Cricetulus griseus: one gene and its partners. The protein of the gene in region 2 interacts with the protein of the main gene of each other region in a biochemical or structural test. Links are inferred from orthologs where the notes say so. Each region holds a gene or a part of one and is shown on either strand. Other genes may lie near its edges.

Region 1 (3,651 bases), on a different chromosome or scaffold from region 2:
AAGTGCTGAGTATAATAAACAAGAGTTTAATGAACAAGACTCCTGTCTTCATGAAGACTACAGACTGGAGGAAAAGAGAAAACATTATTATTAACTACTATGGCCAGAGTTATGAAAAAGAGGAGAGTAGTGTCAAGGTCATAGACAGAGGGAGCCCAGTGGATCTGGGGACCAGGTGGGAAGGCCCCTCAGTAAGCTGACATTTCTTATCCCAGTGCAGCTAAAATGGAAGAGAATAATGGGAGGCTGCAATTTTGACTGAAAAAAAAGGGGGGGCAATTGTTTAAAGATTTCTTTTTGAAGGGGTCATGTACAAAGGTTATATTTATCAAAAGTATCTAAACATATTCTGATTTAATGTAAACTAGAGGCAAGCATCTCTATTGAGTATAATTGTTTTATTAGTGATAAAGTATAGGGCCAACTGAGATGAGTTTACACATATGAGACTCAGAGATACAAATCAATCTTTTATCTAAAACAAAATTGAGCTGGATATGGTAGTAACCAAGGATGCTAGTTCAAGGATTTTCAAGTTCTGGGCCACACTGTGCTATGCAGCAAGACCTAGTCTCAAGAATATAATATAAAAATAACAAGAGTTGAGCTGTAGCTCAGTAGTAGAACATGTGTTCACCATGCACAAGGCCCAAGAAGGTCTGAAAAGAATGTCAGATCCCCTAGAATTTGAGTTATAAATGGTTGTGAGCCACCAAATGCATGCTGAGAATCAAACCAGGGCCTCTACAAGAGTAACACATGCTCTTCACCACTAAGCCAACTCTCTAGCACCCCCATTTTAAATTTATTTTTTAAAAATATTTTTAAAACAACAATGAAGAATGACCACAAAGAAAAGCATTATTCAAAGTGACATTTTTACAAATGATATCAGAAGGAAGGCAGGAAAATTTATTCAAGTTGAAAACCTATAAACAGATTATTATTAATTTTATTTTCTGAGAATGAGATGTAGGTCTAACACATGCCAGGCAAGTTCTGTCCCCAGACAACAATTCACAAAGATTAATTCCCACCTTAGGCTCTGTGGTCTCTCTTTAATCTTTCTTTTGCATTCACACTTCCTCACCCCTTGAGAAGCCCAGGATAAAGGTGTCTTTCTGATGAACCTCAATAAGGGGTAATTCTACAGAGTTAGCGATAAGTCCAACTCCATCCATTCAATGTCCAAGTTCTCTGATCTACTAGATGGAATAAAGCACCATCCTTTCTTCACATCAGGGACAAGCAGATCACACAAACTGCCTGAGAACAGAGCCTGTGCTTGTACAACTGGGACTTCGTAGCTCCTTACTTAATTCATGAAACATGTAGATCCTCCTACCTGACCTTTTGTGAAGTGCAGAAGTTACCAAGATAAATAAGACAGTGTCCCTGCTTCAGGACATTGTAGTACAGAGGGACAAGAGTCAAATAAAGTCATAATTAAAGTGCAGTGTGAACACTTGGATCATTGGATGGAGTACTGGGAAAAGATAATTAGCTGTACTTGAAAGCCTGGCTCTTAAAGGATGGATAGGAATTATCTCTCAATTACTTCATGTTTGAATGAATGTGTATTCCTATTTGCTAAACAGATTCTTCCAATTTCCTAACAGGATCATATGTTGCCTTTTGAAATTGAAGAAGTAAATAATTCAATTTTCAGTTTTCTGTGCTACTGTTGTGAAATAAAAACATGAGCAAAGTGGTGGATAGAAAGCAGAACCAGCACGGGGTGGAGAGAGGAGGGGCTCCTACACTGTGGGAACCAAGGCTGGGGAGAGCACAATGCAGAGCCATAGTAATGATCCAATGATTCATCCTGTCATTCCTCTTCCTCTGTAGCCATCAGGTTTGGGCGGATGCCACAGGCCGAGAAGGAGAAGCTGTTGGCGGAGATCTCCAGTGATATCGACCAGCTGAACCCAGAGTCTGCTGATCTCCGGGCCCTGGCGAAGCATTTGTATGACTCATACATAAAGTCCTTCCCGCTGACCAAAGCCAAGGCGAGGGCGATCTTGACAGGAAAGACAACAGACAAATCAGTTAGTTCTCTTCTGCTCTCTTCATGGGGGTGGCTGGAGCCAGGGGTACTTTCTTGGACTAAATGATCTGCCTCAGAATGCATGTGTATGCAGAATATAGCTCAGCTGTGAACTGTTAAAATCTTGTGGCAGGCTGGGTCCAAAACACAGGAAATGTATTCAAATAGGATAAGTAAACATTGTTCTGAAAAAAAGAGCAACTCCTCCAAGCTGTAGTTTTAAAAACACACACACAAAAAAACTTTGAGAGTAACACACGAACTCATAGGTGATCACGATGCTCATGAATGAATGTGAAGCCCTCTCATGCCCCTACCCTCTTTCCAGACCCATCTCTTTGCTCAGTGTCAAAATAACTGGTGAGGACACAGTGTCTCAGCAGCCGTGGAGGAGGCTGAGCAGGTGTAGAAGGTGTTGGATCCCACTTTTACCTTTCAAGGGTTCCGGAGTCATTCTTCCCAAGTTGAAAGTTGGCACAGAAGTCCACCCAGGGTATCATGAAACCTGTGTTCTTACAGTACCAAGCTTTATTCCTGGGAAACTGGCGACTCTATCCTTTTATTATATACATGAATCCTACTTTCTAAGGATCTAAGCTGCCTAAGCTACTACAATGGAATATTTTATTATTTTATTTTATTATTATGGGGGTTTGTGCTAAATATTGATTAAACTCAAAGCCTCAAGCATGCACGTACACCTGTGCTAGAGCTGAGATACATGCCCAAGCCTCAAAAGGATCCTTAAGCGACATTGTTTAGAAAATTCATAATAGTTGAAAATCATTGTGGAGTCCAGTTTTGTAGGAAGCAGAAAGCTTCCAACATGAAGCTGAGAATCAACACCAAATTGCATTAAAATGAAAAAATACATGCTGCTTCCCATTCCACTGTCAGCTGGGAGCATGACTGGGTCGAGTCTCTGTCCCTCAGTTTTTACAGACAGGGTCTGGCTTTGATGATGTGGTCTACAGAATGTCTGTAGGCAGTAAGAGCTGCAGATCCCATGCAGAAGACCTGGATCCAGCTCTTGAGAACCTTAGTGAACATGCCCAGGACATCGAGGCAACTAATAGGTAGATTCATGTAACTTGATACACATTTGGATTTTAGAAAAAAAATCATATTTTGTTGACTCTCTCAGGTGATCTCTTTCTCTTTAATTAAATGACTTAGAGCATAGTCATCTAATGGCTGTGAGAAAGAGCCACATGCCACTAAGAACAGTTGAGTTTCAGATACACAAGGGCCCAGATCCTGCAATTCCCAAGTATTTTATACATTCTTTACATTCCAGCCACGGGGCCATCTGAAGGCTGCTATTGTTTACTACCATCTTCATTTAAGGAGAAGGAACTGAAGTGGAGAGGCATGTGCACATAGACATCGGAAGGCTATGATGTAAGCTTTCTGACGTCTAGTTGGGAGCATTCTCGGCATGCTATTCCCAGGACCACACATAGTACAGTGCAGTCTGTCCACTAAGCACAAAAGGCAGCCATAGCAAGTGAAACATGAGTGAAGACCTGTACACAGCTAATCTGACTACAGAAAATAAGCTTACTTCATTCCCATGTTGAAAGTAAAGGAAGACTGCAGCCACA
Region 2 (3,751 bases):
CTTACCCATGTAGTCTCTAAGGGACTTCTGCCCTTTAGCCTCAAGTATTTTTGATAGGTTTTTTGGGTTTTGTTGTTGTTTTTATAAAGTTGTTTGTGATTTTTAAAGATAAGTGTAAACAAGGCATAGACACACTTAAGAACATTTCTCCCTTTAAGAATTCAGGTTCACTTGCCCTTTTGCACTCACTTGTTTTATTGTTAAGCTGTGTGACAGCTCAGCCTGTGTCATACTTGAGTTGCATGCACTCAAAGTTGAATCATTTGTGTTCCCCTTTTCTGAAAACCATGCAGCTTCCTTTATTTGCTGATTGTGGGGCGGGCACTGTTACTAAGCTGGTGAGAAGCTCTGAGAAGCACATTTTAATATTTAGATCAAACAGCGATTGGAATACATTAATGCCCAGTGGGGTAAATGTGTCCTTTGAAAGCAGCTGCTAGGCTTCTCCCTGCTGCTCCAATTAACACATACAGCACACTCAGTCAGCAAGAGGGCTGTACATATGGATGAAACCACTTCGCAGATCACTAGTGTGGCTTACCAAGAGCCCAAAGAGTTAACCAGCCTTCTCTTTGCCCAAACTGTAGCTTTCTAGGAAGTTTCCCAAGTGCCAGCTGTGCTCTGAGCAAAGGAATGTTAATCGAAGTGGGTAGGTTGCTGGTGGGGAAAGCCGGTTGTCCCTAGCTTTGGTTCAGTCCAGTGACTAGCGAGCTTCCCCACCCGCCCTGGTGATGGAGGTGTTGGGTAGTGACATTTTAGTGCCCGGACGCCTCTTGCTTCAGCTGAATGAAATATCTTGAACTTTTGTTTGGTATGGAAGCAAGTTGAAGCCCGCAGCTCCGCTGTTTGTTTTTAATTGGTATTATCTTACTTTTGTTATCTCACTTTCTTTCTCTGCCCCACCCATCCTTTAAAAAAAAATATAGCAGATCTGACAGTTTCTTGGGCTAAATGAGAAGTCTCACCAAGGTACTCCCTTATCGCTGTTATGTTTTCCCCTGCTGCGGCTGAACTCTTGGCTTTGATGGACACAGGGAGCAAGGCTGGAGGGTAATGTGTCCCAGTAGCAGGGCTTCCTGAGGGTCATTCATGCTCCACCGACTTGCAGAGCAGCTGGGCTGTCCGCTCTGCTGCTGGCTGCGCAGCTCTGCCCCGGGAGCCAGTCATGGACCGCTTCCTGGGATTCGTCAAGCAGATTCGGAGGTCTAGAAGAAGAAAGGGGAAAAAGTACCGCCCGGAAGAGGATTACCAGGAGGGCTATGAGGATGTGTATTACTATGCTTCTGAGCATTTTCGAAGTAAGCGCTCTCCTACACCCTCCTCCCCTCCATCCTCCTGGTCCTTCTCACTTGCCGGGGCTGACAGTAAACCTTGCATGCTTCTTTACTCTTGGATGCAAAAGATTTACCAGATGGTGTTGTGTGAAGTGCTAGCTCCATTGTACTTGGTTTGTTGTGAGTATAGCCACCACGTCCGATCTGCTCAGTATTACCAGCCCGGGTCTATACAGAGGTTAATATTGTAGATGTAATTGATTGATTCTGTTATTTGAAGGAGCCGTTCTATCTCGTAGGTGGTTAGAATATGTTCTGTTGTTGTCATTGTTTTTTTCAATAATTTTTTGTGTGTGCCTGTATATTTTAATCCTTTCAAGAAAGAAAAGGTTGGCTTGTTTGAAAGTAGTTGTTTATGTTGGAGTGGATGTTCATGATTAATGCTACAGTTCCGACTTCTGGACAGTTACCTGTGATGAAACATGCTGTTTGTAGGAGGAAGTTGATGTATGTTCATAATTTTGTTATTAAGTTAGGGGTCTCATTTACTGTCAGCTAGCAGCAGCAATACCTGTAGAATTAAAAAAAAATACCCACATGGCGACATTTGTAAATTGACTTTAAAATAGCAGAGAACTAAAATGTTTCTTGTACCTGTCAGTGCTCAGGGTTCCTGGTGAGGCTTAGACAGGACCCAATAGATTTAAAATCCAGGAACTGCCTCAGGGCGAGGAGAGAAAACATCTCCCTGCCAAGAGCACTGAGCTTATGTGCCCAAATGAAGGGGAGGGAGATGAAAGCTATGTGTGATCTACATTTTAAAAATTAAAAATTATTTCTTATCTTCTTGAGCAAGAATCTTTATGAACTTGTACCTGAAGCACAGTTTCTTTTTTCCTTCTGGCCTTTTGAAGTCTAGCTATGAATGTATTCCATTTATACCTTTTGAGCATTGGCTAATAAATAATTTAGATCCAAATTTCTTTGGCACTGAAAGCCATGGGAATTATTTCTACATGACAAAAACCCTGCTGTGATTGATGAAAGCTGAGAGTTGAAAACTCATGTGGTGACAATAACACAATAATGCCAATTATATTTCTTTGGTGTTTGCCTGAACGGTATTGCTATAATGTTTTTACAGAGTGTTCTCTGAGTTTCAGAGATATTTCCAAGTTATAATTCTTTTTTCCTGAATAATCTATTCTAATGTAGTGACAGTCTATGTTTCCTAAATTTAGCTTCCTTGATGTATTCTCAAATTGAACTAACATTTGTGGCGCACATTTAAAAAAAATACTGCCAGCTTGCATGAGGAGTAATTCTGAAATGTAGAGACTGGGGTGGGGGAGTTTAAAGAGCATTGCTTGGACTGCTATTCCTTGAACACTTTCTTGCAATCAATACACACCGAGTCTAATTCACACCCTCTGTGATTTCTGTTGTGATGAATGTGTGTTCAAATTGACTCAAACAAAATCTCTCAAATGCCTACATTCTACTTGTTTTGCTGAGTTTTTTTTTTAATTTAAATAAATTTGCCGATGAAAAAAAAAAGATATGTCAGCAGGGCAAAGTGCTTTCCAAGAATAGACTAAGAAGATGGTATAATGAAGGTGTAATAGTTATTACCATTAAGTTCAGAGAAAAACTCAGAAACCCTGCCTTATCAGAGTCACCAAGGACGTTCTAAGGCTACGACACTAACCAGCCTGAGTGTTTGCCTTTCCACATCAAAATTACATCCAGTGATTTTTTTTTTTTTCAGAAGCACCCTTTCTTTATACGATTCAGTTGAAAACTTGTAGACTTAGCTGGCTGGTGGGTCCTGAACTTCAAAATGCTACATTTTAAATATAATGTGTCACAGTGAACTGACATCTGGGGTTTGGCATTTCATTAAATATTAAATAGCGCAAGCTTTTGCAGAAGGCATGTGACATAGCACAGTGACCTCCTGGGGCATCTTTGGTTCCAGTTTCAGGGCCTCCCTGAATTGGACAGAGGAGATTCCACTTGTATTTAACTGCTATAGAAAATCGTACCAGGCAAACCTGACTCTTAAAGCCAATCTTCTCAAATGGGTAGTACGGCTGAATTCAATTACATCTGCTGTGTATCTGTTTAATTAGTCTTTGGTATAACTTGGAATCTATACCCCATGTATCGCATCACATGGGGAGAAACTCCATTTATGTTAAGGCTGAGAGCATCGTAGAATTTATTGATGATAGTCATGTCTTATTTAATGATGCCATTGATTTTTTTTTAAACATCAGTCTTGGTCTCTAGTGTTTTTATTTCCTTTTGTGAAACTTAACTCTGCCATGAAGATTTTCTATCAGTTCATATTGTAAGAAAATGATCATATGATAATGAAAGATAGAGCTAATAAGGGCTTTCCAGAAAATATGCCCTCCCCCCAATTCTTTTCCTCTCTTACATAGTTTTAAGGAGTTCCAATTACTTGGTTTTAT
Region 3 (3,751 bases), on a different chromosome or scaffold from region 2:
CAGAGAGCCACTCCCAACTCTTCCCCAGACACCCCTCCCCCAGCAACCAGGACAATCCCAGCTGCTAGAAGTCACTGGACATTGCTGCAGGCCCATGACTCGGCCCTCTGGAACCCCCTTTGTACCCACTTTGCTCTTGTTTCTCTGTCCCTCTAAAAGGGGGGGGGGAGAGCCCATTGCTACACAGTGGCTGAGCCTAGAAGATAGAAAGAAGCCAGAGGGAATAGTCTGTGGCTGTGTGCATTTAAGTGCGTTCCTGCCCTAGCTACAATGTGTCTATCTGCAAGGGTTATCTGGACACTGCCAGGTGGGACCTGTGACTGCACTCGGGAGCCCTGTGCATGGCCCCTGCACCTGTGAGACTAGGTGTAAAGGAGTGCACCTGTGCCTGGAGTTCCTACAGTCAATCAATTAACAAGTGTTTACAGAGCACACACTGTGCTAGGCTCTGGGTGGGATCCAGGGTTCTTCTAGAGGTTCTCCCATGTCTCAAGGAGATTGCCATCTAGTAACTGGGTGGTATGACAACCAACAGTAACAGACTATATTATCAGGAATGCATCCTGTGCACCAATATGCAGAAAAGTCTTTTTATACAGATGAATTTGATTTTCTCGGTAGCAAAGGTTTTGTTGTCCATAGAACCTCAGCTCCACAGATGAACCCAGGAAAATACTTGTTGCTAAGTTGAGTACACATGTGTTGATGTGTAGCTGTGTTTTTTGTTTGACTGAGTGGCAGTGACTGTCATGGCAAGCAATGATGACTGCATGACTGGGCACATGTGAGCTCGTGTGTGCTTGTGAGTGACAGGGTCTTTTGTAATTGTGCGGCTGTGTGCAACTGCTGTGTGTGCATGCATGCATGCATGCATGTGATAGTGACAGCGACTCTTCCTTGCCCCTGTGTGTGACAGCATCTCCCTGTGACCCTGTGCGTGGGTATGTGCACAGGCTGTCTCTCTGCTCTTGGTCTCCCGTGGGTGTGTCCAACCCCTTTGAGCTCCACCATGCAGCAGCAGTCTGCCTCTTCCCTTGTCCCCATGTGGGTGTGTCCAGCAGCTCCTGTCCTTGAATCTGCCTGGGTGTCCCTGAGTGTTCGTGTGGCTGTCTGTGTGGGCATATCTGTGTCTGCATGTCACCTTTGCCTCCCCCTTCATCTTGGACAATGGCCCCCTTCATCCCCTCCCCCTCCTGGGTCCAGAGCCAGCATTCAGGGGCAGGCTCCCATCTCCCCGGCTTTCCTTCTGTGTACCCCCCCACCCCTGGTCCCCGAAATGGGTGGCTCTCTCCATTGCCTTTGACATCTTCCCAGGCCTTCCTTTCACACTGGACAAGGGAGGGCCCTAGACAGAAAAGGGCCACCGGAGACACGTTGCAAAGGGAGGGAAACAGGGGAGCACACACACACACACACACACTCACACACACACTCACACAAACACGGGTCCATTGCTTCCTCTCTTCCCCACCACAGGCCAGCAATTCTCCTAATCATCCAGGGACCATCCACTAGTACACCCCCACTACTACAGGCTCACATTCCCCCCACCCCACCCGCCGCGTTTTTGCAATTAGGAGTGTTGCAACCAGAAAGCCATGCTCAACTGGGAAAGCAGGGAGGGGAGGGGGACTTCACTCTCCCCCAGCCCATGCAAGGCCCCCCCCCACCCTGCCGCACCCACATTGCCCTCCGTAGCTGGAGGCGGCTTTGCAAAGGCCATTCGCCCTCTTTGGCGGAGGGGGGAGGGTTGGGGGGGCACGACAGGCTTCTGGCACACCGTAAACAAACCGCGGCGCGGCGGGCGGGGGAGCCTCGGCAGGCAGCGGGGCCCAACCCGGGAATGCGCAGCAGACCGGCCGGACAGAGGCCGGGCGGGCCCTCGAAGGGGAGGCCCAGACGCCATCTCCGCGAGCGAACCCCGGGGCCCACCGACCACTTAACAGCACCTCCCTTTCCCAGGGCGTCAGTGGCTCGCTCTCGGGCTGTGACAGGGTCACCCGGGCGCCCGGAAAGGCACAGGTCGGCGACGGGAACCCCCTGGCCGCCCCCAGCCCGCCTCCGAGCTGGCCAGAGACCCGCGGCTTTGCATAATCAATCGCGATGCATTTGCATATTAATGCCCCCTCGCTCCCTCCTCCTTACCTTGGCTTGGCGCGCTGAACCGAGTTGGGCAACGACGCGGGGGTCTCAGCGCCCCGTGCTGGGGGCGTCCATGGGGGGCCGGTTGGGCCCGGGCCGCCCGCCTCCAGCGCCGGGGTGTGAGTGCGAGTGAGCGCGGGGGGCGGGGGGCGAGTGTGGCGGCCCCGGCGCTCCTCCGGCAGAGGCGGCGGCCGCTCAGGCTCCTCCCTCCCCCGCCCCGCTCCGGCTGGGGCTCCGGCTCCGCGCGCCCGGCCGGCTCGCGGCTGCTCCCTGCAGGCCGCCTCGCAGCCGTCGGCCCCCGCCCCTCGGCCCGCGCCGCGCCCCGGGACCCCGGCTGGTCGCCCCGCAGCCCCTCGTTCGCCTTGGCCTCTACTAGGCTCGGACTCGCCCACTTCACCCCTGAGGCTCCGTCGAGGAGCGAGGAGGCTCTGTGACACATTTTGAGCAAGATGTCATTTTTTTTTAATAGCTTTTTACTCGCTGGGAGAATTGGGGGTTTTCTGGTTTGCACCCTGAGGTAGAGGGGAAGTTTCGGGGAGTTCTCTGCACCTTATAAATCCGGGAGAAAGCCCAGATACCAAACGATAGGTTTGTTTCATAGTTCGGGTCCCTTCTCTCCAAGCAACTCTCTGTGTGACCTTGAACAAATTACAGCTGCCAGGGTTAGTTAGAGCTTAAAATCCAAGTGTTGGGCAGGTAACTTCTGAAATCCTCCTAACTTCAACCATTTTATTTTCTAACCGTTTTGGAGTCTCATTTTTCATTTTCATGCCTCCTTTCTCATTTCTAACATTAATGCTGGATCCACTGCCTCCTCCTGCAAACGTTTCTTTTCTCCATAGAGGCTCTTTCTATTCAGTGCCCACCAGCCATTCCCCAACAATATACAGCCCGTGCTAAGCTTGGGGAGGGGGGTGGGCAAGACTCTCTACTGTCCCTCGGCTCCCAGTTTCACTGAGGTACGATCTCCTCTCATGTTTGCACCATCAAAATCCAAATGGTTCCAGGGCCAACCTAAGGAGCAGAGTGGCTGCAAATAGATGGACTCATTTTCTCAAAGGAGAGGTCTCCATGCTAGTTCCGGACCCCTGCGCGCGCACGCGCACGCACGTGCACCAAACACACACACACACACACACACACACACACACACACACACGCGCGCGCGCGCGCGCGCGCGCACACACGCACACCCCTTTGCATTCATGGACATAAAACCCTGTCAGTGACGCCATAGCCCCTTTCATCTCGGGATCTACTACCGCCAGGCAGAGGTCTAATTACCCTAGCACCCCCCTCTGGCCCCGCCGGTTCCCCCGCTGTCATTAGCCCAGTTTTACCAGCGGGGGCCATAGCCTTCCCACGGCTGCCAGGGCGGAGCCCTGCCTCCCCAGCTTGCTCTTGGGGAGGAGCCAGTGAGTGTGTCAGGGGAGCTGCTCTTCTAACCGTTCAGTTTATACTGGATAGAATCGTTTGCTGAGTGGGATGCTGACCAACAGTCTATCCAAGTTGGGCTGCCCTTGCTCATCTTAGTCTCAGCCACCTACACCCTGAACCACGGAGCCACTTCTCTTACAAGGGATTTTAAGGGTTTGCAATGCTTGTGGGG

Evidence for each region.
Region 1: the proteins of Grip1 (region 2) and Pparg form a complex in vitro, tested with the Homo sapiens proteins (2 studies listed by BioGRID). The link is inferred for Cricetulus griseus from reciprocal best matches to the Homo sapiens genes GRIP1 and PPARG.
Region 3: the proteins of Grip1 (region 2) and Thra form a complex in vitro, tested with the Homo sapiens proteins (2 studies listed by BioGRID). The link is inferred for Cricetulus griseus from reciprocal best matches to the Homo sapiens genes GRIP1 and THRA.

What each region holds. Positions count from the first base shown.
Region 1 is NC_048601.1:29,374,727-29,378,377, reverse strand, and holds part of Pparg (peroxisome proliferator-activated receptor gamma), read left to right. Parts: intron 1-1,848; coding exon 1,849-2,048; intron 2,049-3,651. UniProt on the Homo sapiens protein: Nuclear receptor that binds peroxisome proliferators such as hypolipidemic drugs and fatty acids.
Region 2 is NW_023276806.1:137,039,132-137,042,882, reverse strand, and holds the start of Grip1 (glutamate receptor-interacting protein 1), read left to right. Parts: upstream 1-1,165; coding exon 1,166-1,298; intron 1,299-3,751. UniProt on the Homo sapiens protein: May play a role as a localized scaffold for the assembly of a multiprotein signaling complex and as mediator of the trafficking of its binding partners at specific subcellular location in neurons.
Region 3 is NC_048600.1:111,824,915-111,828,665, reverse strand, and holds the start of Thra (thyroid hormone receptor alpha), read right to left. Parts: upstream 2,312-3,751; 5' UTR 2,146-2,311; intron 1-2,145.